Linked DNA regions of Oryzias latipes. The protein of the gene in region 2 purifies or fractionates together with the protein of the main gene of each other region. This does not show direct contact. Links are inferred from orthologs where the notes say so. Each region holds a gene or a part of one and is shown on either strand. Other genes may lie near its edges. The genes, in order: hax1 and chek1.

Region 1 (4,094 bases), on a different chromosome or scaffold from region 2:
GAGATCTGCCCCTTCGCCCTGCAGCTGACGTCACACGGAGGCGCTGCCCCCAGGAGGGGGGAGTCACTGACCGCGGAGGCCCCCCTGACAGGCGTGCACGCCCCCCAGGACGCCTGCATGACGGCTTGTTCCACTGGAGGACTTTAGATCCACTCAGGAAAGTGAAAGTTGTTTTTCTGAGTCTGAATCCTTTAGTTTCAAACGTCACAGCCAGAAACAGAATCACAAAAACTATAAATAAATCTGCAGAAAAGAGGAAACGAACCTTCATTCATCCCAAATACATTATTGACAGCTAAAACTAGAACTACTCAGCTTCAGAATCCATGAATCTGTTTTCTGACTCTGATGAAGCAGCAGAACAGGAGGAAAAAGCTTTCCCTCCTGGACCGGATCAGCCTGAACGGGCTTTCTTTCCACCACCTCACCAGTCTGACTGAAAGGTTCTGGAGCCCCCCCCCCTCCCCCCTGTGGGACGGTTCGGATCCGTTTCTGCAGATTGTGATGAGGACTGTGTTCAGGGGAAGAACAGTCCAAACGAAGCAGCTTGTGAATAAATTAGGTCTTTATTGGGTTCGTATCTGTGCGGCGCCAAGACGACGGTAGAAAAATAGATCGTCAGAGTTTCCTCTCCGTCCTGGGATCACAGACGGAGGCCAACTTTGGACAGAAATAACACTTTCTCTCAAACAAGACGGCGTGGATGGATCCAGACGGGTCTGAAGGTTCTGGAGGTTATTTGAAGCCTCCAAAGAACCTGGAGAACAGCGAGTCGTCATCTCGCAGGTCTGAGGAGCCCTGAGGTCCACCTGCAGCGACACAACTGTGAGGTTTGCAGCAGCTGCTAGAATGGTGAGGCGGGGGGGGCGTAGACGTACCTGGCAGCACCGGTCCGGTCTGCCCGGGTTCTTCCAGTCTCCCGGGACCTCCTGAGCGGGTCACGGTGGTCTCCTCGCGTCCCTGACCGTCTCTGACTGTCCGCCTCTCCTCTACAGTCTGACATCAATTATTTTATATGAAAACAAGCTAAAAAACCCAGAAAAGCTGCGTAACGACACCCACCCCATCGGGCCTCAGAACCTTAGAGACCACCACCGACTGGAAGAAGGACCTGCTCCTCGGCTGGTCTGGTTTCTGACCTGAAGGGGGCGCTAAAATCTGATCCAGGCCACCAGAGGACACTGCAGAGTCCAGATCTGGATCAGACCAGAGGGAAGAGTTTTTTAGACAGACAGGGGGGGGGGGTCACACTGCAGAACCGGGTCGGGTCCGTCTCCCACCTCCGTCCCGTCTGAGGTCTTCGTCTGCAGATCTGAGCGGCTCCTGCATCCAAACACAGAGGATGAGAGGGTGAAGGCATCACAGGTCTGAGCAAGAGGTCTCATTTACTTTGGAGAAGGGGGTCCAGCCGTGAAAGGGCGCGTGCGGGGGCCGAGGGGACCCGTGGGGCGGGGGCCGAGGGGACCCGTGGGGCGGGGCCCGGTCCGGGTGTTTGAGCATGAAGTCCCGCAGAGGATTCCCGCCTCTGTCCGGAGCTGCTGGGGGAGGCATGACCCTGGGGAGATCTGCAACACAGAGAGGGGGCGTGTGAAACCAGAACCAGAACCAGAACCAGATTGGTGAGCAGCTCAGACTGACCAAAGTGTCCAGACTCCAAGCGACCCATCTGGGAGAAGATCTCCTCCATCTCCCGGAGAATGTGGCCGAATACCGGGGGCTCCTGGACCCTCATCCCGTCCGGACCAAAACTGAAACCAAACCTGAAGGCGCCATCGAAAGGGTCCTCCTGACCCCCCATGAAGCCATCGTGGTGGAAAACATCTTCATCTTCATCGTCGTCCTCCTCATCGCGGGTCATGGCGTCAAAGAACGGGTCTCTGATGAGGAGGATGAAGCGAGCGGTGAGACCCGGTAGACCGGTACCGGCGAGCGCCGTAACCCTTGTGCTATCCTAGGCACTTTACCGTTGGGAGTTGGGTCATCTAGACCCACTAGACAGTGCTCTGAACCTTTTTTCTTCAATGATTTGTGATCTTCACTGGTGTCCATGGATTACATGAAATCTTTCCACCTTTATCCACCTTTGTCATGGTAGGGGGGACACGTCAATGGAAGGTGGGGGGGGGGGGGGTCATCTAAGACGGCACAAGGGTTAAACTGAAACTAAGAAAATAAAGTGCGCGCGCGCCGCGGGACCCCTTAGGTTTCCTAATCCAGAAGGTTATCTAACAACCTCCGACCCGAAAAACTCACCTTCGACCGTGAAAATTACCTCCAGGAACCCCGAAAAACCCGCGAAACAAATCAAAAACGCTCATTTAGTGACGGTTAGGGCTGAAACCGAACCGGAACCTTTGCCGGACCTTAAACTCTCCGGTCCGAACGGATGTCAACAGTGCCGTAAAGCGTTCGGAATGCCGTAAAGTGTCGTAAAGACGGAGCCGTAGTGAACAAACGTGTGACGCAGAAAGGGATTTAAACCCGAATCTGTCAATTATGAAATAAAAAACGTTAGAATGTTTATGAATATTGTAAAGATAAAAACGTTTCCACCACGTAGGAAAAAAACCAAAACACGAATAAAGTCATAAAAGAAAAACAATAAAACAAACCCGTAAACTTATGAACTCCTTATTCTACACGGAAAAGACTTTTTAGAATGCTACATTTAGTTTTTCCAAACGTTTCAACAAAAAAATCCCAAATTAACTAAGAATATTTTGTAGGCAACTTGAGAGTAATAAAAAATATCTAAATAAGACGATTGAGGTATTTAAACCAACTAGTTCACAAACAAATGCAGAGATTTGATACAAGCAAAATTAATAAAATCATTTTAGGTTTATCATCATCTTGTGTTAAATCATATAATCCACCCATCATTTTTGTTTATAATGTTGGTTTTCTAAATACAAAAACCTTAATCAAGTTTATTTTGTAGTCATGTGCAAAATGGTTTTTAAACAGAAAAAAACAATGATGGACATTTGATGAGACTGAATCCCAGACGAGTTCAGCAAAGCAGATCATTCAGCCTCCTGTCGTCCATCATCTCTGCTGGAAGGAGAGAGGATGAACCCCCCAGCAGAGAAAAGCCTCCAGAATAGAGACAGAGTCACTGCAGGGGATTAAAAACATCATCCTGTCCCACTTAATTCACCAATAATCATCCTTTTCTTGATCAAACTGGTTTTAGGAAAGAAATCTGCTGATGTGAAATGAATCCAGGATTCTGTTAAATTCACAAACCCCAAAAAAGTGAAAAACATTCAAAAATGATGAAAACGTCTTTGTTTATTTACTTAATATTTATATATTTTTACAAAATAAAAAAAATATGAAAACAAAGCTAACAAGTCTGCAAGGATTTGAGAAGGAAAGAAAAAGCCATGGACAAACGGGGACTACAGTACTTGTGTTTTTATATGTACAAGACTAGTTTTTCTCCATTTAGATTTTGTTTTAAAACGCACAGTACAAAAAAAAATAAAAATAAATCACTGAAAATGAAACAAAACCCAAAATACAATTCTGTCCATCAGTATTCAACGCTGCAGGGTTTCCTTTTATGTTAGAAGACAGGAGGAGGAGGAGGAGGAGGAAGGACGGGAATCCGTCTGTCCTTCCGTCCGGATGCGGTTAGGATTCATGGGAGGAGTTACTGTACAAACGCCGCATGCCCAACCGCCCTGAGCCCAAACGTTTCTGATCACAATCCCCACGTGTTCAAACACGCACGCCGTCACATGACGCGTTGTCCCCACAGCCTCTGTATATAGAATAGATCTAGATTTGGTAAAAAATAAACTTCACGACTCTACCAACTGCTTCTTCAAACTTAAAAATGACATAAAAGGGGGGGAAAGCATTCAACAGCAACTTATTTTGGGATATATTGTATGGGGGGGGTCTGGATGAAAGCACAGGTGAAGGTGAGAATATGAAACCGCCCCCCCCCCCCCAGTCAGGTTTTCTCCCCTCAAGCCAAAAAAAATGGAGGACCAAAGAAAGGAAACAGAACCCATTCAGGAAATGTTGGTTCTTTTAGAAAACAGTTCTATGTTACAGGCGAGGGGGAGGGACGGGGGGGTCTG
Region 2 (4,451 bases):
AAACAAGTAAAGACTCCGCTGAATTTAAAGTGAGCATCTTACCAATGCGGTCAAACAGCTCCCCTCCAGTGCAGTATTCTAGGAAGAGATAGACGGTTGTTCCTTCTCTCCGATGACCGAAAAACCTTACAATGTTGCAGTGGTTGAGAATCTACAAAAAAAATAATATTTCAGATGAACAGACAATTTCAAAGACCCACTCTGACGAAAATTGTGTTTCTGGTTTTCTCAACATGTTCTCATGATGGAAAAAACTATATGAAGAAAATTGAGCTTGCAATGGTATTTTTGAGTATTTTTATTTTCAAATGGTTGCGAATCACAAAAAAAGACCGTTTGAAAAAGAACGTATCTGCAATGTAGAAAATACAATGTCTCCCTTTGTATTTGTCCAATTACTTAAGAGCCCATGAAATGAAGGGATTGTGTTTAAAAAATGCTTTAGTTTTTCATAATTCTATGAAATCTTTTAGTTCAAACCATGGTATAAAAGCTGAAAGTCTGCACTTTAATGGCATCTGAGTTGTTTTATTTAAAATTCACTGTGGTAATGTACAGAAAGAATGTGTCTCTGTCCAAATATTTATGGTCCTGACTGTAGATGAATATATCCATGTAGGTCTTCGTCTTCCTCGTCCGAGGTGGTATCTGGCTAGAAACTGTACGGCTGCATGGGTCCAATGTTGCTCGCCATTTGTGTTGCACCGATAATGTTAGGGTGAGGATGTGAGGGGCTGTAAGCTAGTGGAATAACATGTAAAAAGCTGGGTGTCAGGAAGTGAGGACAGGGTTGTTCCGTGTCAACGGTTCCGCCCACAACTCAGAGGTATATTTTTAATGAACTGCTACAGTTTCCTCAGCGTAATGATGGCTCCTTTCACCTGCATGGTGAGCTCCTTTGACCACATGTCTGTTCACAGCAAAATCTTCAAAATGCAAGCACGAGTCCTCTAATCAACCCCAGGCCTTTTATCTGCTTCACTCATAATGACATAACAAGGGAATTGCCCACACCTGCCCATGCAATAGCATGGAAGTCAATTGTCCAATTACTTACGAGCCCATGAAATGAAGGGATTGTGTTTAAAAAATGTTTTAGTTTTTCACATTTCTATGCAATCTTTTTGTTCAACCCATGAAATAAAAGCTGAAAGTCTGCACTTCAATGGCATCTGAGTTGATTTATTTCAAATTGTAGTAATGTACAGAAACTAAATTAGAAAAAATGTGTCTCTGTCCAAATATTTATGGTCCTAACTGTATGTCTTAGAAAACGACACATTTCTTTTTCATTTTGGCTAATAATGGAATAATCGTAATTGAAAGACCACCAGGGACATTTTTTGAAAATAGATCAAAAGACAATCGGAGAGGGAGTTCAAAGCTTTTTAATTAACCAGTAAGAATGGGTACTTATTCAGGTTTTTAAAAATGCAAAAATTATTCAATAGATTCCTTTTTTAATCTGTAAACAAATTGCTTAAACAACAAAAATGAGAGATGATTTGTGTCAGAAGTGCCTGGTTGGGACCAGCTGTTTTAGACGTGGCTGGGATACCTTATGGATGCAGATCTCTTTCTTGACATTTTCTGCACACTCCTCTGCTTGTGACGTGTCGATCACCTTTACCGCCACCGCCTCCTCCGTCTGCCTGTTCACCAGCAGCCTCACTCTGAACACCAGATCAGCGTAGGAACAAAAACAAACCAAAAATAAGGATAAAATCAATTCTCAATTGCATTGCTCCCTCTTCATTTATTAAATTTCTATTCAAAACAAATCAGTTTGGTTAAAAATGTGTTTGCAAAAAAACATTTTTTTGTAAATAATAATTTCATGTCAGATTCTTATCCTTTTTGTTGCATTACACTTTCATCTTTATAATTTATCTGAATACATATACAGCTGTTCTTCTCCTGCCTCTCTTCCCGTGTGATAAATCCTCACTAAAACTCTTTCTACATAACTTTTTCTGATGGGTTTTCCACATGGTCCTATTCTAAAATATTTAAAAACAGATTCGGACCGCTTTAATCTAAGCATATCATATGTTATGCTTGTAATCATTTTAATGGCAAAACATTTACAATGATTTTTACTTTTATGTCTAATTTACAACAATGAAAGTTTTCTGTTAGTTAGATTTGGCTTTGATCCATCAATAACCCTTGTGCTATGGGGTCCAGATGACCCCACCCTTACATTGACGTGTTCTCCCTACCATGACAAAGGTGGATAAAGGTGGAAAGATTTCATGGAATCCATGGACACCAGTGAAGATCACAAATCATTGAAAAAAAAAGGTTCAGCGCACTGTCTTGACTTGTGGGGTCCAGATGACCCCACTCCCAGCGTTAACGTGCCTTTGATAGCACAAGGGATAAGTGTCAAAATCTTCCAAAACTGAAACCCGCTCACTAACTCCTCTACTAGTCTTCAGCAGATGTGTGTGCAGATGTTGTGTGTGGGTTCTAATGAACACGTGTGGTCCTGCTACGCCATGAAAAGACTTTCTGAAGGGTCCAAAAAGAAAAAGGGTTCCTACTCTCCATAAGCTCCTTCTCCCAGCGTCTGGACCACGTCCCAGTCCTGCACGAAAGGCACCGCCATGATGATGATGAGGATGGAGAACAGAGAGAGAGAGCCGGTCAGAACAGAACCAGTCCTGAAAGTGGACAACAGCTGCTGCTCGGCTCAGAGAGCCTGGTTTGGTCAGACTGAAAAGTCCAATCTACACGGCTGCTGTCTCCTCTTGTTCCTTTTCACAGATATCCATCGAGCCAGTTCGGTTCAGAACCAGCAAAGCTTCACGAATTTGGCGCTAAGAACTTTCCCAGTGACAACTTCCGTTTCTTCTTCTTCTGTTGTTGGAAAACACTTTTTTGTGCATTACCGCCACCACGCGGGTCATTCCGGAATTGGAGGACATATTACATTCCACTCATAAGTATCCCTCCGAGGAAAGTTTTTGACATGTCTTTCTGGCATTTTTCTTATGAAAGAGAACAGTTGTAATAAAAATCAGTTCATTTTTGCATGTCTGAGTATTTCTCCTTTTAATTTGCTGTCAATCAAACGGTCGCAAAGATGCTCTATTTAAATTGATGACCCGTTGTGATATTGTTGTTTCATTTTATTTGCTGTGCGAGTGAATTCAACAATCTGCATGTGCTAGCATCAAATCAGTTACGAGCCACAGCCAGTGCTGCTTGCTGGTGCAATGTCGCCTAAATTATAATGTTATTAAAAGCATTTTCATGGACTTATCAAAGTTCTTTTTCATGTGTAACTGTATTAAAGCGAAAGTAAGTCAATAATAAAAACTTTGGTGATTTTTTTTCTATCCTACATTGACAAAAATGTTGAAATGAAATCTTAAACAACCCACTTCAAGTGTTACCAATTAAATGGTATAAATAAGTTAATCTGTGGCATAGGGGCTTATTTATTAATTTTTGCATTGGTGTTTTTGCATCCTTATTTGATTTGATTAACAGCACCTTGAGCTGTTTTCTTTACATGAAATGTGCTGTATAACTAAAATTAATCTGAATTGATATGAATATATTTGTTAAACTGACTGATGACATCAGTGCCTCACCAGCACTCACCACATCTCACTGCTGAGCATGTTAAGGTAAAATTGCTATGAGCAGAAACTTACCAAATGTAGCACAATTCACACAAGCTGAATTCCATCTAAATTCCCCAAAATTGTATTTTCTGTATGTTGTTTAACAGAAGGATTGACACGTTTAAAATTAACATGGATTGTTATTTGCAAATAATACAAATTTGAAAGCTGTTTCCTCAGCACGTAGAGCTGCATTTTCCTCATAGAAGGGGACAACATTAAGTTCCAAGCATGAACTTATTAATACTTTCATACAACTGTTTGAAATCCTTTCACCTTCTTTTAGATGAACTTTAGTCTTGATCTAAATCAGACCATGAAGAAGGACAAATACTGCAGTTGGGGAAAAGTCTCACGTTGCATCAGTCTTTTGAAACTGAATAAATAAAAGAGTGATCTTTGTTCAAAGAATTTTTTTTACATAACTCCTTAAAAAAAGCTTCATTTACACAACCCAAATTTCAAACTGTTACTTTTAACTGGTTCAGCATGGAAGCTTCTGTCCACTGGAGAAGTCTTGCTGTTTTCTTTTGTCTACTTTGCACAGGTAAAATATATCTTTTGTGGCTTTAAGCAGGCATTTCATTTTTAATTTTCTTCTTTTTTTAAATTCAATTCATGAGATAAATAATGTGTTCAAAATTATGATCATGCATAATTTAATTCAAATTACTGTAATACAGTTTTTGTGGAAACGAGGAGTAGATGTTTCTGTAAGAATAAAAAATTCCTCAATATCTTTGAATTATTTTTTTTTTTTCTTAAAGGACACAGACTAATTTAAACAAAATGTTCACAGGAGACACATCCACCAAA

Evidence for each region.
Region 1: the proteins of chek1 (region 2) and hax1 purify together in Homo sapiens (affinity purification with mass spectrometry; 3 studies listed by BioGRID and IntAct, with this or other methods). This does not show direct contact. The link is inferred for Oryzias latipes from reciprocal best matches to the Homo sapiens genes CHEK1 and HAX1.

The regions. Positions count from the first base shown.
Region 1 is NC_019869.2:791,251-795,344, forward strand, and holds hax1 (HCLS1-associated protein X-1), read right to left. Parts: upstream 2,444-4,094; 5' UTR 2,319-2,443; coding exon 2,254-2,318; intron 1,878-2,253; coding exon 1,639-1,877; intron 1,566-1,638; coding exon 1,390-1,565; intron 1,324-1,389; coding exon 1,281-1,323; intron 1,197-1,280; coding exon 1,063-1,196; intron 997-1,062; coding exon 879-996; intron 810-878; coding exon 736-809; 3' UTR 548-735; downstream 1-547. Other genes in the region: aquaporin-10, read right to left, coding at 1-119. UniProt on the Homo sapiens protein: Recruits the Arp2/3 complex to the cell cortex and regulates reorganization of the cortical actin cytoskeleton via its interaction with KCNC3 and the Arp2/3 complex. Slows down the rate of inactivation of KCNC3 channels. Promotes GNA13-mediated cell migration.
Region 2 is NC_019872.2:13,136,704-13,141,154, forward strand, and holds the start of chek1 (serine/threonine-protein kinase Chk1), read right to left. Parts: upstream 2,868-4,451; 5' UTR 2,612-2,867; coding exon 2,547-2,611; intron 1,674-2,546; coding exon 1,559-1,673; intron 152-1,558; coding exon 43-151; intron 1-42. UniProt on the Homo sapiens protein: Serine/threonine-protein kinase which is required for checkpoint-mediated cell cycle arrest and activation of DNA repair in response to the presence of DNA damage or unreplicated DNA.